4 linked regions of the Drosophila melanogaster genome follow. The gene in region 1 interacts genetically with each later gene. Each region holds a gene or a part of one and is shown on either strand. Other genes may lie near its edges. The genes, in order: sub, tacc, Klp61F and nod.

Evidence for each region.
Region 2: of sub (region 1) and tacc, changing one enhances a phenotype caused by changing the other (phenotypic enhancement), as found in Drosophila melanogaster (one study listed by BioGRID).
Region 3: of sub (region 1) and Klp61F, changing one enhances a phenotype caused by changing the other (phenotypic enhancement), as found in Drosophila melanogaster (one study listed by BioGRID).
Region 4: of sub (region 1) and nod, changing one enhances a phenotype caused by changing the other (phenotypic enhancement), as found in Drosophila melanogaster (one study listed by BioGRID).

The regions. Positions count from the first base shown.
Region 1 is NT_033778.4:17,744,986-17,749,614, reverse strand, and holds sub (subito), read left to right. Parts: upstream 1-1,536; 5' UTR 1,537-1,636; coding exon 1,637-2,177; intron 2,178-2,238; coding exon 2,239-3,437; intron 3,438-3,495; coding exon 3,496-3,642; 3' UTR 3,643-3,753; downstream 3,754-4,629. Other genes in the region: CG10931 (uncharacterized protein), read right to left, coding at 1-597; Ir54a (ionotropic receptor 54a), read right to left, coding at 3,754-4,629. UniProt on the Drosophila melanogaster protein: Required during female meiosis for bipolar spindle formation in the absence of the centrosomes and chromosome homolog segregation. Also has roles in male meiosis and mitotic divisions of the early embryo.
Region 2 is NT_033777.3:4,743,385-4,748,084, reverse strand, and holds the start of tacc (transforming acidic coiled-coil protein), read left to right. Parts: upstream 1-1,670; 5' UTR 1,671-1,910; coding exon 1,911-2,288; intron 2,289-3,419; coding exon 3,420-3,621; intron 3,622-3,902; coding exon 3,903-4,700.
Region 3 is NT_037436.4:1,241,065-1,247,793, reverse strand, and holds Klp61F (Kinesin-like protein at 61F), read left to right. Parts: upstream 1-1,883; 5' UTR 1,884-2,153; coding exon 2,154-2,233; intron 2,234-2,299; coding exon 2,300-2,600; intron 2,601-2,793; coding exon 2,794-4,126; intron 4,127-4,191; coding exon 4,192-5,402; intron 5,403-5,466; coding exon 5,467-5,718; intron 5,719-5,768; exon of another isoform or gene 5,769-5,802; coding exon 5,803-5,826; 3' UTR 5,827-6,226; downstream 6,227-6,729. Other genes in the region: Psf1 (partner of Sld five 1), read left to right, coding at 120-728; CG32318 (uncharacterized protein), read left to right, coding at 1,161-1,240, 1,307-1,721; galene, read right to left, coding at 6,312-6,517, 6,573-6,729. UniProt on the Drosophila melanogaster protein: Important role in mitotic dividing cells. Microtubule motor required for spindle body separation.
Region 4 is NC_004354.4:11,579,174-11,586,290, forward strand, and holds nod (no distributive disjunction), read left to right. Parts: upstream 1-1,598; 5' UTR 1,599-1,750; coding exon 1,751-1,867; intron 1,868-1,931; coding exon 1,932-2,126; intron 2,127-2,196; coding exon 2,197-2,731; intron 2,732-2,783; exon of another isoform or gene 2,784-2,865; coding exon 2,866-3,011; exon of another isoform or gene 3,012-3,020; coding exon of another isoform or gene 3,021-3,300; intron 3,301-3,359; coding exon of another isoform or gene 3,360-4,987; exon of another isoform or gene 4,988-5,002; intron 5,003-5,132; coding exon 5,133-5,323; intron 5,324-5,386; coding exon 5,387-6,097; intron 6,098-6,175; coding exon 6,176-6,281; 3' UTR 6,282-6,577; downstream 6,578-7,117. Other genes in the region: pkm (pinkman), read right to left, coding at 3,021-3,300, 3,360-4,987. UniProt on the Drosophila melanogaster protein: Required for the distributive chromosome segregation of non-exchange chromosomes during meiosis. May be a microtubule motor required to hold distributively 'paired' chromosomes at the metaphase plate until anaphase.

The sequences.
Region 1 (4,629 bases):
GCTGGTGACAAAAATATTGCCATCGCGGTGGAAGTCCACCGATGTTATGGGATCCTGGTGGGCGTGGACGATTTTGAGCGTTTTGCCAGTGCGGACATCCCAAAGGCGCACTGTTTCGTCAAAGCTAGTGGAGGCCAGCAGATTGGCCTGCGGATTAAAGCAGCAGGAGAAACTGTACCTGGAATGCCCCTCCAAAACTTTGACGCAGAGCTTGCTGCGGGCATCCCAGAGACGCACGGTCATGTCATCGCTACAACTGGCAATTAATCCAGCCGCCGACCAGGCGACATCGTTGACTCCGTCTCCGTGCCCGGCCAGCGATTGAATGCATCGGGTTGCGCTCAAGTCCCAGAGCTTAAGCAGCCTATCGCCGGAGCTGCTGACCAAGTTCTCGCCATTCGAACTAAACTTTAGACCAGTAACGCAACCACTGTGACCGAGGAGCGAGTGCTTAATGGCGTAGCCCGGAGACATGGAGTTCTCCAAATGGAACTGACTTGGTAGCATAGGCATCTTAAAGGAATCGAAAGCGGCCTCCGGGATGGCGATTTCAGTTTCGGAATCTCCAGGAGTCGAAGCTGTTTCAATCAATTCCATAATTTTATTTTTTTCGCCCAATTTTAATTTCTTACGAATCCTGCGAAAAGTTCGAAAACTTGGCGATGATGGTGACAGTTCCTGAGTTGACAAAAGCTTGCTGATATTTTGTAAAAAGGGTTTTCATTTCATCATTTACCCGATTATTTTTGGCGCCCAGTTTTAAGTTTTTATTATTTTTTTAAATTAATTACCTACAAATGTTGAGTCTGTTTTTAATTATCGCGAGAAAAAGTACACACGTACTGATAATTCATTAAACACTTTTTTACAATATTTGTCTAGTACATACAATTGTTAATTGTTTCTACAACTACTTATAACTCATTTAGTCAATATTTGTTTGAATTCCCAGACAGGGGGCGTAAAAAATCAGACTGGAAAAAGTAAACAAGCCCAATTAATTTGCGTTTTAAGGGAGTACTTATTTGGCGACAGGGTGCTCTATTTGCGCAGCCTGTTATTGTTATGCTGTCCAGACTTGTTAACCAAACATTAAACAAATGGCCGGTGCTGTGCCGTGCCGGCAATTTGTCACCTAATTATTTGTCGACGCTGCTAATCTTACATATGGGCAAAATTGGAGAATGCGCGATAATCAAGTCAGTGAACTTAATATTTGCATGGTAATTTAACAGACTTAAAGTGAATTTTTAACTTAAATTTTAGTAACATTTGGATTTTAACTGCACATATATGCCTTTATTATTTTATAAAGTTTGAATCAATGAATTTTTATACTAAAAATGTGTGCTAGTACTAGAATGAATTGAAATTATTTATAATAACTGGAACGTGTTGCTATCGATTTTTTTTTGTCAAAATTTATCTTTTTTATTAAAAATTGAATTTCTACATTAAATGTTATTGATGGTATTTTGTAACGGCTAATTCAAATGATCAACGGTCACACTAGCCAGTGGAGCTGCCAGCTATCATTTGAAATTCAAGTAAAGTTGGCAGCCCCCTGGCGTCTGAAAAATAGCGCGAAGTGAAGTAAACTAAAAAGTATCCCTTCAACCCACATAAACAGCGCAAAATGGACAGCAAGGAGGTTTCGGAGGTGCCAAGGCGGGAGGTGCGCTCCTTCCTGATGGCCCGGGATCCCTCCATCGACCGCCGCTTTCGACCGCGACCCAACAAAAAGATGCGTCTGTTTGACAACATTCAGGAGTCGGAGGAAGAAAGTTTTTCCGAATACTCGGACACGGAATCGGAGTACAAGTACCAGTCGAGCGAGGCAACCGAAGGGGCCTCATGCGCTACCAGTGCGGCAGACAGCAGCAACGTGGAAACGGGGCCACAGGTCTTCCTGCGCTTGCGTCCCGTTAAGGATGCATCCAAAGCCTACATAGTCTCGGAAGAAGCAAATGTGCTGATCACTAGCTGCAAAGTGGACTCGACCAGCAACAATGTGAACCGCATGGAAAAACACTTTGGATTCACTTCCATCTTTGACAGCACCGTTGGCCAGCGAGACATCTATGATACCTGTGTGGGTCCCAAAATTATGGAGGAGGAATGTGTGACCATTATGACATATGGCACATCGGGGTCTGGAAAAACGTATACCTTACTGGGTAAGCGAAGAGGACTTGCAACAAGTTTGCTGGGCAATTGTTAATTTAAATCCATTTTTAGGCGATGATGTGCGTGCTGGAATCATTCCGCGTGCCCTGGAAAACATATTCACCATTTACCAGGACACCGTCTTCCGATCGCCCAAGCTGAAGCTAATCAATGGCAGCATCGTGTTCTTGCAGGACGACGCCTCGCTGAAAGAGCTGCAGATTCGGAAAAAACTTTTAGACTTATGTCCGGATATCAGTGCCCACCATCAGCGTCTGAAGCAGGTCATTGATGGCGACCACATGTTCGAAACGAAGGCTTCCACCGATGTTTCCGTCTTGGTTTGGGTGTCCTTCGTGGAGATCTACAATGAACTTGTGTACGACCTGCTAGCCATTCCGCCGAAACAGGACAAACTGGGGGAGGTGCCACGAAAAAACCTGAAGATCGTGGGCAACAAAGGCCATGTGTTCATCAAGGGTCTGACCAGTGTTTTCGTGACGAGCAGCGAGGAGGCGCTGCGTCTGCTCCGGCTGGGCCAGCAGCGCTCCACGTACGCCTCCACCTCGGTGAACGCCAACTCTAGTCGGTCGCACTGTGTCTTTACCGTGGACATACTAAAGTACAATCGGTCGGGCATCACCACACAGAGTTCGTACAAATTCTGCGACCTGGCGGGTTCGGAACGCGTCAACAACACGGGTACCTCCGGCCTTCGTCTCAAGGAAGCAAAGAACATAAATACGTCGCTGATGGTGCTGGGTCGATGTTTAGATGCGGCCAGTACAGTTCAGAAAAAGAAAAACGCCGACATCATTCCATATCGCGACTCCAAGCTAACAATGCTGTTGCAGGCTGCTTTGCTGGGCAAGGAGAAATTGGCCATGATCGTGACAGTTACCCCTCTGGATAAATACTACGAGGAGAACCTGAACGTCTTGAACTTTGCTTCCATCGCCAAGAACATCATCTTCAAGGAGCCCGTAATTAAACAGCATCGCGTCAGCTACTGTGGTTTCATGGAATTCTCAAAGATGTCGACGTGCGAGGGCGGCGACTACACCAAGGAACTTGAGGACGAAAACGTGCGCCTGCAGTTAGAGATTGAGCAACTGAAGTACGATCATGTGCTGCAAATGCAGCTGCTTGAGGAGAAACTGCGAAGGGAACTGACTGCCACCTACCAGGAGATTATCCAAAACAACAAGAAGCAATATGAAGACGAATGCGAGAAAAAATTACTAATTGCGCAAAGAGAATCAGAATTTATGGTTAGTAAATATAACAATATAATATAATAGTATATAATATAAACTATATATTTAACAGCTTTCCTCTCAACGCCGAAGGTATGAAGAACAAATAGAAGACCTCAAAGATGAGATAGAGGAACTTAAGAATCCTGCAAGCGACACGGACATTTCTGATGATCCAAACGAATCTAAGTCTCCCATCGAAATCCTCGATGATGATTAGTTTCTTTAATTCACAATTTTTAATTTGTTAAGTGTTAGTGATTTTAAAATTTAAATTTGAAACTTGATATGTTGCAGAGTTGGCCACGTTTTCCAATAAACATGTGAATGATCAATAAACTAGTGACACAAATAATGATGTGATTCTGTGCCAAGAAACTTCGAGCAAGAATACCAGAATCGCAATTACCATAAATGTTCCGTACGCCTGCCACATCCACTGAAAATCCACAATCCTTAGCGAGGTAGGGTGCTCTCTTTCCTTCAACTGCAGGCTGGGATCCTCCAGACCGGACAATCCAGCTGCTGTCATGTCGTAGTAGTGCATTCCCACCCAGAAGTCATAGAGTCCATTGGCATTTACCTCCAAAATAAGTTGGCTGACGGGCTCTGTGAACAAGGAATTCTGCGGCCATTGGAAAGAGAGCAGCGCCAGGGACCACAGGCAGTCATCCGTGGAGTAGATAAACAGCTCTCGGGTGAAGCGCTTCTGCTGCTCACTGAACAAATTCCAATACAGTCGGGAGGCGAAGTAGGCATTGCTTGTGTTCCTTCCATTCCTCAAGTGATTGTACTCACTCACATTGACCACCAGCATGGGCACACGCAGTTTCATCCATGTGGGAAAGTCTTCCTCGGTCGTAACCAATGGTATTTTCGTGCGACGCAGACCAGCGAAACTTCGTGCTTGAAATTGCCGTGGTGGATGAGCCATTAATGTGTCCAGTCCCGCTCCAAAAATGCTGCTCACATTAAGACCCACTATTCCAAGCATCAGAAATATCAACCTGGTGGAGAAGCTTCTCGACAAGGGCAAATTGAAGGATTGGCCCAAGATTCCGCGTAAAGCTTTATCATTTAGCACAAAGTCCACCAGACGCACATCGCGATGGGTCATGTTTCGAAGGAGATTCAAAGCCAATCCATAACTGGAAACAATAACAATAGCCAGGAACATATTGGAAGCACTGCTCAGGATAAAGTAAAT
Region 2 (4,700 bases), on another chromosome or scaffold:
TCTACAGATGGTTTCCACCCCTTTCCACATTTGCCTATTTTTAGATCAGTTTATAGTTGGCTCTTCCTCAATATTTGTTTTCTTTTATTTTCCTGAGTTCTATTGGATATTCGAATTGCAGCTTAAGGTTCAAATTCCACTTGTATTCTATTCTATTGTATTTATTGTGTTTTCTGAAATCAGTATACTCATTTGTGGCCACTATTTGGATTCCACTCAAGGCTTATATGCTTCAACAAACTACATTGGTTTTAAATTCACCCTGAGCCGGGAACCGTGTGATATCTTGTCACCTGTCGCGCGCTGCTTGGATAACGCTAGAGCCAACATCTAACTATTCCCCCCTCGTCAAGGCCCATCGTGTGGGATTCCGTTTCATTGCTTACATTTTCTCGCCAAACATGCAAAGTCAGCCGTTGGGCAATGTGGAGCTTGCAGATAGTGCGCCATGATGCGCAACAATGGCTGTGGGATTGCATGTCATCTGGGACCCACCAGGCCTCTACACTTGAAACAATGTGATGAGCCAAATCAACATATTTATTATTTTAGAGCACTCTACTTGCCTCTACTGGTATATCTTTAAGAGAAAGCATTTTGCAAATAAGACTGTTCTCCAAAAATCCTATGGAAAATGTGCAAAATAATTCTGTCATCAAAGCGTTGAATTTGCACCAAGTTCCTCCAGTTGATTTGCGAAGACAATATAAGCAGTCGGCGGTCGCCGTATTCTCGTATCCCATTTATTTATCCCCTTCTTTAAGTGTTTCGACTTATTTGCGGTGTCTTGCACTTTCACTGCTGCCTTTCAGTCTGAATTTCGTCTGAGGCCTGTATAGTTTTTCAGTTTTTCACTGCAGTTCAGTCAAAAAGGTTGTCAACTTGAGCCCGCTCTTTTGACATTATTATTTTATAAATGTTGCCCACGACCTCGACCGTTTCCAAAATGTATTTCATATATCTAAGAGAAGTGTGTTTAAATGGATCAAGTGTGTGTTGCCCTCTAGCTTCATAAAACCCAATATATTTTCTCGAAATAGAAAAGGGTAACTATTCCAACCATAGAAAGGATAAGATTTCATCTTCAGAATCACCAGCCAAGTCTATCTGGCCACTAAGACTTATATTATTTATATGCTAATAAAATCTTTGAAGGGTATATTTCTCGTAGCTCCAAAAGCTGAGTAATGGGTAGTCGAGAAAAACGACTGAGTTCTCTGTTGTTTTGATTTAATTTTCATTAGGAATATTTGTGCTTAAAAGTTCAGAGTATAACTTATCGGAACTATTTCAAGACTAAGGATGTGCTAAATAAATGTTTTAAGTTGGTATGAAATCCATAATGTGTAATATACAAAGGTGTCTCTAGCCGCCGTCTCACATGTGAAAACATATGGCAGTATTATAAATGGAAGAGAGGACCGTGCTGATAAGGGGAGAACGCCATGTGGGCTAAAACGATCCAAACATGAAGACATACGAAAACATCCGGATCGTTATGTGGATGCCATTCAAACTATTCGTTCTCTCACTCGGTCTGTCGATCCCCCGCACTCTCGCCGTGCTCTAAGTATTTGTGCATGTGTGACGCTGAGCAGAGCAAAGCAAATTGAAAACGAAAATATTTTTAAATTGATTTTAAAGGCAGACATGATCGGGAGGCAGTGAGAACCGCACGCGACAACGGGCCGTGAGAAACCCGGAGGTATTACCCAATATAATGGAAGCGGAAAATCACAGTAAAGATTTTACCGAGTAGGCGAGCCCAAATCTGTGTCACAACAAAAACCACAAAAAAAAAAAAAAAAAAAAAACACTAAAGACCAAACTAAGGAACTCTATAGATCCATTATTTTTTGGAGCCAAGTGAACCGTATCGCGTCTCAGGAGTTAATCGTGCGTAGAGCGGCATGGATTTCCTCGCGAATATCATCAAAAGACCCAAAAGCATCGCCACCACTGGCATCAGCACCAATCAGCCAACGACAATGGAAGCCCTAGAAGCTGCTAGTCCCGCTGATGAATGTTCTACACCAAGGGATAAGGGAGGAGTTACACTTGTATCCGCGCACCTGGACTCGTTACTAGAGTCCGCCTCTGAGGAGCTGCAACGACTGGAGGGAAAGCACTGTGAACTATTTATGGAATCCATCTCGAACCCACTCCCAGCCCCCGAGGACAGCACTGATAGTAGAGAAGAAATACAGAAATTTCTAAGCGAAATAAACTTCAATCTGAACCAAGTGAGTGCTAACGAAATGGAGCACTTGCAAGCCATGAGTGGCGAGGTATGTCTGAAAGAATTAGGACTATCTTTTTATGTGCATCCCTGGGGGGGGGGGGGGGGGTGTTCTAGTATTAGGCAAACTGCATAAATCTACACATTGGAATTTTTTTGTAATGTCCCAATGTGTTTTGCCGATTGCATATATAGTATTTATGCGGTTCCACTTGGTTTTGTCACCTTATTGCGTTGCAGAAAATATTATTTTAAATAGGGTTGTATCTAGCCATTAGCTTGGGCTAATATTCCGCAGGAATCTGCTTCCCATTACCACTCAAATTTGAGCCCATTGTCAAAAAATTAAAATTAAAATACTTATCAATAAAATCGAAACGGAGAAATTGGTCTAATGCCAGAATTTTCCTAATTTTTAGTGTCTCGCTCATAAGCCGGTCACCACTCGCCTTATTCTTCTGACTTTAACCTTGCAGCACCCATTATACTGCAATGCGCTCTAATTAAATTCCGCGTGTAGAACGATGCTCCCAAACCTAAATAGACATTAAACATGGCGGCCGGCCGCATTGAATCCGCGGCATGTTTATTTCGCACTGCACAAAAGCTGACGTCGACCCAGTTCCACGTCCATCTCCCCACCTTTTGCTCCTCAATCCGTTTCGTTGCCACCCTCCCAAACATATGCCATATACCCGATTTTTACGTCTTGGCTGGCTTTTTAATTAATGACATTTGCTTTTGTTGACTGACCGACTGCGACAAACATTTGAAATGTATGTCTTTTTTAAGCGTGAATTGAAGGCATCTGTATCATATGGGCTACATTAGATGAGATTGAAGTTTTTCAAATGAAGATCATAATTTCATAATAATGTATTCTTTTGTATATGATAATAACTAAAAATGGGGGTCCTATGCCTTTGTATAATTTCTTGGCAATGGGAAAATACGGGAAAAGTCATCCCAAATGCGATTTATTTATGCCAACTGTGGTGGGGCTCTTGCCTTTTTGTGTGTCAAAAATTCTTAATTAAATGACCAACCAGCTGCTACTCGTGATCATCTTTAAAACCCCATTCCCAACATCGGTTGTTCACGGTTTAAAACTATTCGGATCATGACCGCGATGTACATCTTGATAACTATATTCTTAAATTTTGCATCTCTTGTTTGGCAGCTGAGTCCGTTGGCGGTGAAGCCCAGTCCCAAGCCAACGAGCATGGATCAACAGAAGGCAATGGCGGCAGCTCTGGGGCATCAGACGGCGGTACCCGGTGGACTTAAGCCAGAAGACGACCTCGTTCCAAAGTTTGGAGGTCTTCCCGAGTTCGATGAGACGCAAATACCGGAACTAGCTCCTTTAAGTACCGATATGGATAGTGAGTAAATCTTGTTTGTGTAACCCAGAAATCTCTTAAGGTAGAAAAATTATATTGATGTACAAAAGAATTCCATACGAAATCCGCCAGAAGAGCGAAGTAATTTCTTCTATTTCAATACCGTCATTTATACAAAGGAAAGGGCCAGCTGGGGAAAATAAATCATTTCCAAGTTTATGTATAAATTTCTCGTTGTATTAATTATATAAATAAATTTCTTATATGTATTTAATTATTATTAAAACGAATTGATTAATATATCGCATTCATTCCTCCCTTAGCTCAACTGAAATCCAACCATTCGGATTCGGATGTTTTTGTCGAGTGTTTATCGCTTCATAGCGAGCGCTACACCGGAGATCGATCGGAGTTAGAGGCATATTCAAGTGCCCTTAATGATGTTTTGGAGCAGCAGCTGTCCATGACCTCAGTTTCTACACTGGGAGCTGAATTCAACGATCCTTTGGCAGTTAGCCAGCACAACAACGTCAGCTATGAAGCCATGGATGTGGATGACCTAAACGAAACCATGGAAATGTTAAAGGACGTCTTGAATGCGGAAGACCGTCATCTTATGCAAACGCATATTCTCAGCGTAACCCAGTCAAAACCAGAGAATAATTTTGTGCACTATCATCCAAATCAGGAGCAAAATAGGGTTGAACTAGACCAGTTAGCCAAACACTCTAAACCCAATAGTGATGCAAAGGAATCAGAATCATTGGTAGAATCAGTACTGTCTGAGGAGTCTGGTACACAATCCTTTGAGCCGAAGCTCACCTTATCTGCCTTGGACTCTACGAAAGACTTAGCTAAGCATCAAGAGGAAATGCAAACAAATACAAAAGATATATTTCAGAAAGAGAAGCACCACCCGGTCAGTAGTGCTCAGGTGAAGGACGCACAAAATCCTAAGGAGCCTGAAAAGGCCTTAAATCTCAAAGAGGCTTCTTCAGAACTGTCCACAAAATCAGCAAAATCTCTAGAATACCCTAATCAAGAGAAGCAATTTTCGGTGGCAGTAGAATCAATGGAGAGACCATGCACTGCCATCAGCCTTGAGCAAAATGCATCCCCAG
Region 3 (6,729 bases), on another chromosome or scaffold:
TGTTATTTTTTGAAATATACCAAAAGAAATACCAAGTATCGATACCACAAGTCGACGAACATTTTGGCGCGAATCCATCACTAGATCCCCAAACCAAAGAAAAACAGAGAGGATCAACAATGAGCCGACAAACAAAAATGTTCGGCGAGAAAGCCTTCGACCTGCTAAAAGAACTGGAGAGATCGTCGCAGACAATTCCCGCCTTCGACGACGATGGGGTGCGCCAGGTGCTGGAGGAGATCAAGGCGATATTCGAGGAGAACGTGGCCCAGGCCTCCAGCTACAATGCTTCCGGGGATCGCAGTCTGTGGCCCCTGCTCAACTTCAGGCACGCAGCTCTCCAGAGGAACAAGAGGTGCCTGCTGGCCTACCTATACGAGCGGTGCAGGAGGATCAAGGCCCTCAGGTGGGAGTTTGGACCCATTATCCCCGGGGACATCAAGCAGGCACTCTGCGAACCGGAGGTCACCTTCTTCAACAACTACTCCAAGTCCCTGGCTGCCTACATGTGCAGTGCGGGCTACAACCAGGGCTTGCCCATTGATCTAACCAACAATCTGCGTCCGCCCAAGTCACTTTACATCGAGGTGCGCTGCATGGAGGACTATGGGAAGTTCGAGCTGGACGACGGCGAGGTGATCCACCTGAAGAAGAACAGCCAGCACTATCTGCCCCGAGCTCAGGTGGAGTCTCTCGTGAGGCAGGGCATTCTTCACCACATAGCCTAGTCGGGATTATTTGATAATAAGAGTTTACTATACATATTTAATGGTTTAATGTAGAACAAATAAAAGATAAAAAATTATTTAATTCAAATAATTTGAACATTCTGTAGTTTTCCAATACTTGTATTTTTCGATGTTGGTATTTTCAGGGTGCCGTGTTGCGGTCACACTATTTGCGCATTATTTTAAAATTGAACGGACAACTGAAGACGCTGCTTCTCTCTGTTCTCATTGGAAATAGTGCGAAAATTGGTTTTCCACGCCAGCCTTCTGTAAATAGTAGTTACAGTTATCAGCATTCGGCTCGGTGGAAGGTGAAGCACAAGGATTTCCAGGAATCAAACACACACACACACGCATACCGATACACGCGACAGGCGTCATTTTTTGGACTGTACGCGCTAAAACCACAATTAATTGTTTCAATTGATCAATATGGACATATCTGGTGGGAATACGTCGCGCCAGCCCCAAAAGAAGTCCAACCAAAACATCCAGGTGTATGTGCGCGTCAGGTGAGTTTGTATATGTAACCAAAACCCCTTAAAAAGATCTACATATATCTTCTATATCTTTTGTAGACCCCTTAATTCTCGGGAACGTTGCATCCGCTCGGCCGAAGTCGTGGATGTGGTCGGACCACGGGAAGTGGTCACCCGCCACACGCTGGACTCCAAGCTCACCAAGAAGTTCACCTTTGACCGCAGTTTTGGCCCCGAGTCCAAGCAGTGCGATGTCTACTCCGTCGTGGTGTCTCCGCTGATCGAGGAGGTCCTCAATGGCTATAACTGCACGGTGTTTGCTTATGGCCAGACGGGCAACAATCTGCGTCCGCCCAAGTCACTTTACATCGAGGTGCGCTGCATGGAGGACTATGGGAAGTTCGAGCTGGACGACGGCGAGGTGATCCACCTGAAGAAGAACAGCCAGCACTATCTGCCCCGAGCTCAGGTGGAGTCTCTCGTGAGGCAGGGCATTCTTCACCACATAGCCTAGTCGGGATTATTTGATAATAAGAGTTTACTATACATATTTAATGGTTTAATGTAGAACAAATAAAAGATAAAAAATTATTTAATTCAAATAATTTGAACATTCTGTAGTTTTCCAATACTTGTATTTTTCGATGTTGGTATTTTCAGGGTGCCGTGTTGCGGTCACACTATTTGCGCATTATTTTAAAATTGAACGGACAACTGAAGACGCTGCTTCTCTCTGTTCTCATTGGAAATAGTGCGAAAATTGGTTTTCCACGCCAGCCTTCTGTAAATAGTAGTTACAGTTATCAGCATTCGGCTCGGTGGAAGGTGAAGCACAAGGATTTCCAGGAATCAAACACACACACACACGCATACCGATACACGCGACAGGCGTCATTTTTTGGACTGTACGCGCTAAAACCACAATTAATTGTTTCAATTGATCAATATGGACATATCTGGTGGGAATACGTCGCGCCAGCCCCAAAAGAAGTCCAACCAAAACATCCAGGTGTATGTGCGCGTCAGGTGAGTTTGTATATGTAACCAAAACCCCTTAAAAAGATCTACATATATCTTCTATATCTTTTGTAGACCCCTTAATTCTCGGGAACGTTGCATCCGCTCGGCCGAAGTCGTGGATGTGGTCGGACCACGGGAAGTGGTCACCCGCCACACGCTGGACTCCAAGCTCACCAAGAAGTTCACCTTTGACCGCAGTTTTGGCCCCGAGTCCAAGCAGTGCGATGTCTACTCCGTCGTGGTGTCTCCGCTGATCGAGGAGGTCCTCAATGGCTATAACTGCACGGTGTTTGCTTATGGCCAGACGGGCACAGGGAAGACCCACACCATGGTGGGCAACGAGACTGCCGAACTGAAATCCTCCTGGGAAGATGTGAGTGAACAAAAATTCAAATCAAAACCATATCAACCATATCAGCGTAGGGCCCTACATTCTCACTTTCGCAGTTTAACCAAACAAAAAAGGTCTTTGCCATTCTTAGCCATCTGGCTCAAGGCCATCGAAACCAGTTTTTCTTTTCTAAGAATCGCTAATCTAACCTTTTCCAATTTGTCTTCCCGCTTAGGACTCTGACATTGGCATCATACCGCGCGCTCTGAGTCACCTTTTCGATGAGCTGCGCATGATGGAGGTGGAGTACACTATGCGCATTTCCTACTTGGAACTGTACAATGAGGAGCTGTGCGATCTACTGTCCACCGATGACACCACCAAGATACGCATTTTCGATGACAGCACCAAGAAGGGATCGGTGATTATCCAGGGCCTGGAGGAGATACCAGTGCACAGCAAGGATGATGTGTACAAGCTGCTGGAGAAGGGAAAGGAGCGTCGCAAAACAGCCACTACGCTGATGAATGCACAGTCCTCACGCTCCCACACTGTATTTTCTATAGTTGTGCACATCAGGGAGAATGGCATCGAAGGAGAGGACATGCTGAAAATCGGTAAACTGAATCTGGTGGATCTGGCGGGCAGTGAAAATGTTTCCAAGGCTGGGAATGAAAAGGGAATACGTGTGCGGGAAACAGTAAACATCAATCAGAGCCTCTTGACTCTCGGTAGAGTAATTACCGCTTTGGTCGATCGCGCTCCTCACGTTCCATATCGTGAATCAAAGCTGACTAGACTGCTGCAAGAATCTCTGGGTGGCAGGACCAAGACCTCCATCATAGCCACCATATCGCCGGGCCACAAGGACATCGAGGAGACCCTGAGCACTTTAGAGTACGCTCATCGCGCCAAGAACATTCAAAACAAGCCCGAAGTCAATCAGAAGCTGACCAAAAAGACTGTGCTCAAGGAATACACCGAAGAAATCGACAAGCTTAAAAGAGATCTTATGGCGGCCAGGGACAAGAATGGCATCTATTTGGCCGAGGAAACCTACGGGGAGATAACTTTGAAGTTAGAATCCCAGAACCGCGAGCTTAACGAGAAAATGCTGCTGCTCAAGGCTTTGAAGGACGAACTCCAGAACAAGGAGAAGATCTTCAGTGAGGTGAGCATGAGTCTTGTGGAGAAAACGCAGGAGCTGAAAAAGACCGAGGAGAACCTACTGAACACGAAGGGTACTTTGCTCCTGACCAAGAAAGTGCTGACCAAGACCAAGCGACGATACAAGGAAAAAAAGGAGTTGGTGGCCTCGCATATGAAAACGGAGCAGGTTTTGACCACACAGGCTCAGGAGATCCTAGCCGCTGCTGATCTGGCCACTGATGATACTCATCAGCTGCACGGAACCATCGAAAGAAGGCGTGAGTTGGATGAGAAGATTCGCCGATCTTGCGATCAGTTCAAAGATCGTATGCAGGATAATTTGGAAATGATCGGTGGCAGCCTGAACTTGTATCAGGATCAGCAGGCAGCCCTCAAGGAGCAGCTAAGCCAGGAAATGGGTAAGCTATCTACAGAAATCAATTTGTATATTATTGTACATAAGTAAAATTTTATAAATCTCCAGTAAACTCGAGCTATGTGAGCCAACGCCTTGCACTAAATTCCAGCAAAAGCATCGAAATGCTTAAGGAGATGTGTGCCCAATCGCTACAGGATCAGACCAACCTCCATAATAAGTTAATAGGAGAAGTCATGAAGATCAGCGATCAGCACTCTCAGGCATTTGTCGCCAAGCTGATGGAGCAGATGCAGCAGCAACAGCTTTTGATGAGCAAAGAAATTCAGACTAACCTGCAGGTGATCGAGGAAAACAACCAGCGGCACAAAGCCATGCTGGACTCTATGCAGGAAAAGTTCGCCACCATAATTGACAGCAGCTTACAGTCTGTGGAAGAACATGCGAAGCAAATGCACAAGAAGTTGGAGCAGCTCGGGGCAATGAGTTTGCCAGATGCGGAGGAACTGCAGAATCTTCAAGAGGAGTTGGCGAATGAACGAGCTCTGGCGCAGCAGGAGGATGCTCTCCTTGAGTCCATGATGATGCAGATGGAACAGATCAAGAACTTGCGGTCCAAAAATAGCATCAGCATGTCCGTACATCTTAATAAGATGGAGGAGAGTCGACTGACGAGAAATCATCGCATCGATGATATTAAGTCTGGTATCCAAGACTACCAAAAGTTGGGCATAGAAGCTTCCCAATCCGCACAAGCGGAGCTCACCAGCCAAATGGAGGCGGGAATGCTTTGTCTGGACCAAGGCGTTGCCAACTGTTCGATGCTTCAGGTGCACATGAAGAATCTCAACCAGAAATACGAAAAGGAAACAAATGAGAATGTTGGTTCCGTTCGAGTGCACCACAATCAGGTGGAAATTATTTGCCAAGAGAGCAAGCAGCAGCTTGAGGCGGTGCAGGAGAAAACCGAAGTTAACTTGGAACAGATGGTGGATGCAAGGCAGCAGCTTATCACCGAGGACAGACAGCGATTCATAGGCCATGCCACTGTAGCCACTGATCTTGTCCAAGAGTCGAACCGGCAGTTCTCGGAGCATGCTGAACACCAACGGCAGCAGCTGCAAATTTGCGAGCAAGAGCTTGTACGCTTCCAACAGTCGGAGTTGAAAACGTACGCCCCAACTGGGACCACGCCCTCCAAAAGGGATTTCGTTTATCCGCGCACCCTCGTGGCCACGTCGCCACATCAGGAAATTGTGAGGCGCTATCGCCAAGAGCTGGACTGGTCAGATCTGGACACCACGGCCACTATAGATGAGGTAACCTAAAATCCTTCAACCTTGTATGTTGAAAAGCACCAACTTTTATGTTTCCAATCCGTAGTGCAGCGAGGGTGAGCATGACGTCTCCATGCATTCCGTCCAGGAGCTGTCCGAAACTGAAACCATAATGAACTCCACGCCCATTGAGCCCGTGGATGGTGTCACCGTGAAGCGTGGGTGCGGCACCACCCGCAATTCCAATTCGAACGCCCTAAAGCCACCCGTAGCTACTGGTGGAAAACGCAGCAGCTCGTTGTCACGTTCCCTGACACCCAGTAAAACGTCACCTCGAGGTTCTCCCGCCTTCGTCAGGGTAAGTCAAGTGCAAGTCCGCTAATGACTTAACAAATAAAGGGTGGGGATATATTATCATTGCTTTTATTTTCAATATTTTTAGCACAACAAAGAAAACGTAGCCTGATTGCATTCGATGACAGTAGTAGTCTCCCCTTCCCAGTAACCCGTTTATGTTAGTGGATTTCGGATCGCTGTGTTTGTTTGGCTCTTCTGGATATTCATTTTATCTGTATATCAATCTTTGGAATTTCGTACATTTATTATTTAAATAAACTCAGTATGCTATGTAAAGTTAAGGAAATCTTTAGTTCAAGTGCAGGTTTAAGATATATCAGAAGGTATTCTTAAACTTCGATACTATTTTTTAGGGAAGAAGTGAATTTGGTTTTTTAATGATGTCATGCCTTCCAAGGAAGCGCTTTATAATTAATATAATCTTAACTATTTTACTTATCATATTCTCGTTTGTGAATTTAAATTTGTTGAAGTTTTTTTTCATAAAACATTTAAACATATTAAATATCCATCTTTCAAAGTGTGTTCCTTATAATTAGAGCATCCAACATATTTAGGAAAAAACAGATGTCATAACTATCTATCTATCTATTACTAATCCTCATCCTGCTCGTCGTCATCATCCTTAAGAATGCCCAGACGGCGGGCTACCTCCTTCACATTGGCAATGAACTCCTCCTGGACCAGGTTAAAACTCATGGCCAACAAGGCAATGCCGAAAAGAAGGTACAGCGAGCAATAGGCGATGGACTGCTCCGACTCGTCCTTGACTCCTTTCGCGGGGACAAAGTCACCAAATCCTGTAATGCAAAAGCAGATGAAAAGAGTGCGCAAGGAATTGGGATAAACACAAACCGATTGTTGTCAGTGTAATGAAGCAAAAGTAGGCGGAATCCAAGAAGGACCAGTTCTCCCAGTACGCAAAAAGAACAGCTCCGCCAAGGATGTAGCTCACTACCAGAAAGACGCATAACCAAATGGGGACAGGTCGATCCTTGGGCAGCAGATCTCC
Region 4 (7,117 bases), on another chromosome or scaffold:
TTATTTCTAAATTGAAAACTTCACTTCCTTTGATCCAAAAGACACTGAAAAGACACGTTTGCAGTTGAGTTCATTATTTTCTGGTATACATACACACTGATTACTCATTCAATTGGCATTTTGCTCTTGTTTTTCTCCGATTGCCTTGCACTCGCATAAATTTAACACAAAAAAGAAGTTCGGGGTGTTTAGAATCCATCCACTTGGTACAGTTCCCATCGAGCTGGTGAGTACTCCGCGCAGTGCAACGTATACACACTTGAACTCGAATTCTGGCAGCAAAATGGTGGTGACCTATTAATAACACCCGCTCAATTTTCCCTCGCTTTTCCATTCAGTCTCCAACTAGCTGCAAGTGAGTACGTTACTTCCGAGATCCTCTCCAAAAAAATAAAACATAAATCCAAATCCAACCAGTGTAGCATCCATTGAATTAGATTTTCCGACACGTTGCGCCTATGACAATCCTAATTCCATCCTCTTCTCTTTCGTTTAGGTAGCTCGGATGGCCATCGAAAGGGTAAATTGGTGTTACATATAGCTTTAGAGATCGTTTCGAATCACATTGATAATCGTTCGAAACGTTCTCCGAAGCAAAATCAAGCAAGAGTAACGATTTCCGCATAGTCGAAAATGTTTAAGTTGAATTGTCTTACGGACAGTGAGATGAGTACGACTATTTGGAAATCACAAACGAATTGTTTTCATGGTTGACGCGCTTGTCAAGCTACAAAACAAAATGAATGATATACAATATACAATATACAATATGCAATACAATACAATACAAGACAAAAAAATGTGTCTTGGAACGCAACATTGTACAAGTCGCAATGCAAACTGAAGTCTTAAAAGACGTGTAAAATGTTGCAAATTAAGCAAATATATATGCATATATGGGTAACGTTTTACGCGCCTTAACCAGTCAAAATACAAAATAAATTGGTAAATTTCATATAACTAGTGAAATGTTATACGAAACTTAACAATTGCCAAATAATACAGATCGATTTAGAGCGAGATGACAATAGAGAGGCGATCTCTCTCGTATACGAGTCTTGAAAAGAAAGAGAAGGCGAACGGTGCTGGCTTAGAGAGAGATGGCAATACTAATTAACTGCAAATACATTTCCGCCATTTTGTTGGCGCTAAAAGTAACGGAAATTCGAGATGCTTTTAGGGCTGCCACCTTGGTTTCCAGGGTGACCAGAACTGACACTTAAATTACATATGACAAATAAAGACTTATCTGCTATTGCAAATACTGTTTTAAGCGGCTTTTTTTCCATCAAATTTGTTAGTTCTTGTTCCTGTTTTAATAAGTTGGCAATACCGATCCTCCGCACTTGCTATGTGTGTCTATAATCATATAGGGTGGCAGCGCAGGCCAGGGCTGGCAAGGGTGGCGCATTAACAGAGTTCTGTAATGTTATGCTCATGAACAATAGCGATGCCATTGTGCACGATATGTTTGCAAAACATGTTAAGTTGTGTGCAGTATTTTAGCAAGATTAAGTTAAATTAGAGATGGCCCCTACAACATACACATACCAAAAGCGAGGTCACAAGCCACAATGTAAATATCCATGACACCAACCCAGATCGTTCTTAGTGTTATTACCGCGACGGTCACACTGCCAAAATCAATTTGAAATGCAAAGGTCGCTTGGCTTCGTCAAAAAAGTAAAATAATTACGGTGAATGCAAGCCAATTGTGCATTATTCAAACAACTTCAATTCTTCAATCTGCATGGAGGGCGCCAAATTAAGCGCAGTTCGGATTGCGGTCCGCGAGGCGCCGTACCGCCAGTTCTTGGGGCGTCGGGAGCCCAGCGTCGTCCAGTTTCCGCCATGGAGCGACGGAAAGGTATGTGCCCCACCATTGGCCATGTGCATGTCTAACGGTATATGACCGCCATCTCGCTTTGTAGTCGTTAATAGTGGATCAGAATGAATTCCACTTCGATCACGCCTTTCCCGCGACCATCAGCCAGGATGAGATGTACCAGGCGCTGATCTTGCCGCTGGTGGACAAGCTGCTCGAGGGATTCCAGTGCACTGCACTCGCCTACGGCCAGACGGGAACGGGCAAGAGCTACTCAATGGGCATGACACCTCCGGGAGAGGTGGGTTTTTCGTTTAGCCATCAGTGGCTTAAATCTTTCCCACTGATCTATCGCTTCTATTCCTTTACAGATACTGCCCGAGCACCTGGGTATTCTGCCTCGCGCCCTGGGCGACATTTTTGAGCGCGTGACCGCCCGGCAGGAGAACAACAAGGATGCGATTCAGGTGTACGCCTCCTTCATAGAGATCTACAATGAGAAACCCTTCGATCTGCTGGGCTCCACGCCACATATGCCCATGGTGGCGGCGCGTTGCCAGCGATGCACCTGCCTTCCTTTGCACAGCCAGGCGGATCTGCATCACATCTTGGAGCTAGGCACTCGCAATCGACGCGTTCGTCCCACCAATATGAATTCCAATAGTTCGCGATCCCATGCCATAGTCACCATTCACGTGAAGAGTAAAACCCATCACTCGCGGATGAATATTGTGGATCTGGCCGGTTCAGAAGGCGTGCGGCGAACTGGGCACGAGGGCGTGGCCAGGCAGGAGGGCGTCAACATCAATCTGGGCCTGTTGAGCATCAACAAGGTGGTGATGTCCATGGCGGCGGGCCACACAGTGATACCATACCGCGACAGCGTCCTTACCACAGTTCTGCAGGGTAAGTGCTACGTTTTGGATCGTCTCATGCTCAATTAGTTAGTGGACCATTTGGGTTCAAGCCTTTATTGATTAGCGACTTAGTGACTACTATAAATATTGACTGCAACTTCTTGCCGTTTTCATTCTTTGCAGCCTCGCTAACCGCGCAGTCGTATCTGACCTTTCTGGCCTGCATCAGTCCGCATCAATGCGATCTCAGCGAGACGTTGTCCACCCTGCGTTTTGGCACCAGTGCCAAGAAGCTTCGGCTGAATCCGATGCAAGTGGCGCGCCAGAAGGTGAGCCATCTATATGTAATTAAAGTCCACACAGTCGAGGATCACCTCGCGTATACGCTGTTTAAATGTAGCCTCGTTGCCCGCGCCCAGGAAACCAGCTCCATGGAGATCCGTAGTGGCCCCCGCCTCGATGCGCTCGCTAATTGCCTGAAGGTCGGGCACATCCTGACCCTGCATCGTTACAATGGGTAGAACCATCATGGCGAGAAGCAGGCCCACAGCCGCTTTGGTAGCCACCTGTTCATCGAATGCAGGACGGGGAAAAAGTTGCTCCACCCGCTCGCCTAGTCTGTTGCGAACACAACAATACAATAGTTGAAGCTCTAGGATTCTTATACTTTTACTTACCTAATCAGCTGCAGGCCCAACTCTTCATAGTAATCCTCGAGCATATTTTCGAGGTGTCGCTGCCGGAATCGCCGCGAAGTGCAAGTGAAGAGGAAGTAAGCTAGATCGGTGACCGGCGAGGCATATCGCATCAGTTGCCAGTCGATCAGGCGCACGTCCTCGAGCTCGCCCCGCTCTGTACTCTTGTAGAGAATGTTGTTATTCCAGCAATCGCCGTGGCAAATAACAGCGAAGGGTTCGCAATTGAATCCGCTGACCAAAGGCAGCAGCAGCTCAAAGTACGATCCTCTGGCGAAGTACGCCTCCAGACGAACTCTGTATGCATCATCCGCCGGTGCGAGCAGTGCGGATAGGGCGCTTTCCTTCAGATTCTCGAAGTAGACCCCCAAGGCATGATCATCGCGTCGCTGCTCAAAGATATCCACCAGCTGCTGCAGTTGTTGCATTTTCTCGGGCAACTGCCGTTTCCCGGCCAATGATATAGCATGTAATTTGGCATAGGTGAGCATTACGCGACGCACATGCTCGACGGATAGGTCGAGAAAGCGATTGTGCAGTGAGAAGCCGGCACAAGACAGATCCTCCAGCACGATGCACTCGTTGGGCTCATCCTGGCGAGTTCCGAAACAGAGCGCGTGCTGCCGGAAACGATCATCTCCGATTATCTTCCACTTATCCTGAATTAACGCAGTCAGCGGCAGAAAGACCTCATATGCTGCCGTCTCGCGCAGGAAACATGGTCGTGCAAAGAATTGCTTGCGGCGCACGCGATTCTGTGGCGGCAGTTTAACCACCAGGCTGCGTTTCGAATCGGATGCCGCCTGTAGGCGCCACACCACGCCCAAATAGTTGTCGCCCTTGGCACTCGCCCTTTCCAGACGCAGTTCCGGATTGGCGCCCAGCTCTGGCCACAGCTGGCTGACCAGTTGGCGAAGGAACTGTGTAACCTGCTCGTTGGGCAGATCTTCGTCTGGCTTGGCTGTGTCCTCTTGTTGCTCTACAGGACTCTCCATCCTGTCTGGGTGCTCTCTATTCACCTCCCCATTTCGTTCATCTTCGGTGTCTTCATGTGGATCTGGTTCGGCTTCCTTCTGATCAACTTGCTCTGCTGGAGCTGCTAGGTTGCCAGTGAGCTGAATCTCACTCGCAGAGATTTCTGCTAGTTTTTCCCTGTCCGCATTCTCTGCCAGCTCATCCTTTGATTTCGCCTCAGGCTCATCATCTCCTTCCAACAACTGATCTCCAAATGTTTGATTCAACTGGGGAATTTTTTTATCAAGCTCCTCTATGCCTTTGAGCTCTTGTTTGTCGATCACTTTCGAATCAATCTCTTTGGCTAGTTGTTTTTCAATGTGCTCCACCTCAGCACCTCTCGGTTCCTCCAACTCTGCCACCAATTCCTCCTTTTTCACACGATTATCTTCTAAATCCTGCACTGCTTCGCTGTTATTTGAGTTCTCCTCCTTTGGTTCCTCAACATCAATTCGTTTAGGTGACTTCTGATCGACATCTGGATAACTTTCTGTTGAGTCTGGTGAATTTCCTTGATCGGATGCCACTTCTATCACTTCCTGACTTTGGCGATCTTTCTGCTCCCCCTCCTGCGTCTTCTCACTGGGCTGTTCCATGGCACACTACGCCACCGCCGCGAGTGTGGATCGTTTATATAGAGAAACCAAGCCGTACCGAACCGAACTCATTCCAACCGCACTGACCGCAAATCGAACGATGCAGTTACTCGAGTTTCATCCACCCATCTTGCTCTGATTGCAGCAATCGCTGGCCGCACGGACAACACACGTCTTCCGCCAAGCGCTATGCACCTCGACGGCCATCAAGTCAAACGCAGCCAATCATAATAGCATAGTGGTTCCAAAATCCAAATATAGCACAACCAAGCCGCTGAGCGCCGTGCTCCATCGAACTCGCTCCGAACTTGGCATGACGCCCAAAGCTAAGAAAAGGTGAGTAACACGGAATGGACCAAAAGCGAAGATGATCTAATCCTCCCATATCTTCCTCCATAGGGCTCGCGAGCTATTGGAGCTGGAGGAGACCACGCTGGAGCTCTCGTCTATACACATTCAGGACAGCAGTCTGAGTCTGTTGGGTTTCCATAGCGATAGCGATAAGGATAGGCATTTAATGCCTCCCCCAACAGGGCAAGAGCCAAGGCAAGCCAGCAGCCAGAACTCTACGCTAATGGGCATTGTCGAAGAGACCGAGCCCAAGGAATCGTCAAAGGTGCAACAGTCAATGGTTGCCCCCACGGTGCCCACAACTGTACGCTGCCAGCTGTTCAACACCACCATCAGTCCCATCAGTCTACGGGCATCCAGCTCTCAGCGAGAACTTAGCGGCATCCAGCCAATGGAGGAGACAGTAGTGGCTTCGCCACAGCAGCCATGCCTTCGTCGTTCCGTGCGTCTAGCGAGTAGCATGCGTTCGCAGAACTATGGAGCCATTCCCAAGGTTATGAATTTGCGGCGCAGCACGCGGCTGGCGGGAATCCGGGAACATGCCACCTCCGTTGTTGTGAAAAACGAGACGGATGCGATACCGCACCTTCGAAGTACAGTGCAAAAAAAACGTACGCGAAACGTGAAACCTGCGCCCAAGGCCTGGATGGCCAATAATACAAAATGTTTTCTGGACCTGCTTAACAATGGAAACGTTAAGCAATTGCAGGAGATTCCAGGGATCGGTCCAAAGTCCGCCTTTAGTTTGGCCTTGCACAGGTAAGTTACTTACATAGTTGGCATACCTTTATTTGCGTTTTACCCAATAACCCTTAATCCGTAATCCACATTTTTCAGATCCCGCCTGGGTTGCTTCGAGAATCTTTTTCAAGTCAAATCCCTGCCCATTTGGTCGGGAAATAAATGGGAACGATTTTGTCAAATTAACTGTCTCGACACTTGATACAATTACTAATTAAATAGCATTTTAATTCGAATATAGTATAGTGATTGTTATTTATGTGGCATATACTTTGATTTTACAACTATAGTAGGAGTAAAAAAAGGAGCCGGATATCCTAAAACAAACAGTTATATATGTGTATGTGTAATATTTCTCAAGATGTTTACTTATTTTTTGTTTTCGACTATAATTTATTTGATGATAGCTTAGACTACCTATTAAATAAGCGCTATGTAATCTAATATTTAATTGCATTTTTTGATTTAAAGTAAAATAACTTTTAGGTCAATAACAATAATAATAGGACTTTTACACTTTGACACTTTTTATTCTTGGCATATAATTTTTAGACAATATACATATATATATACATTGATTATTGAAGTCGTCGATCTTCACTCTTCGCACTCACTCAACAGGGGGATTCTATCTACGAATCCATCAGTTTCGGCCGCTTCGATTCCAGTTTAGTTAGCACTCTCTCCTGGTTGATTTGGTATATACATACATACATATTTGATATATATATGTATATAGGTATGTATGATCATACGATTAGCATACGAGATAAGCTGCCAATCCAATCCAAACACATGGCGCTGGAAATCGGCATTCCATACACATTCCTACTCTCTTTTGGCTGGAAATCTTATCCGATTTCCCTTCGCTTCAAACATCAAAATACTCTGTTTGGGTTTCCCGAGCGTTGATTCATTAATCTAGCCATGATATAACAACCAAAATAATATCAAGCTATAGAATATATTTTTTAAAGAAAAAAAATCAGTCTGCGGGCATCCAGTTCTCAGCGAGAACTTAGCGGCATCCAGCTAATG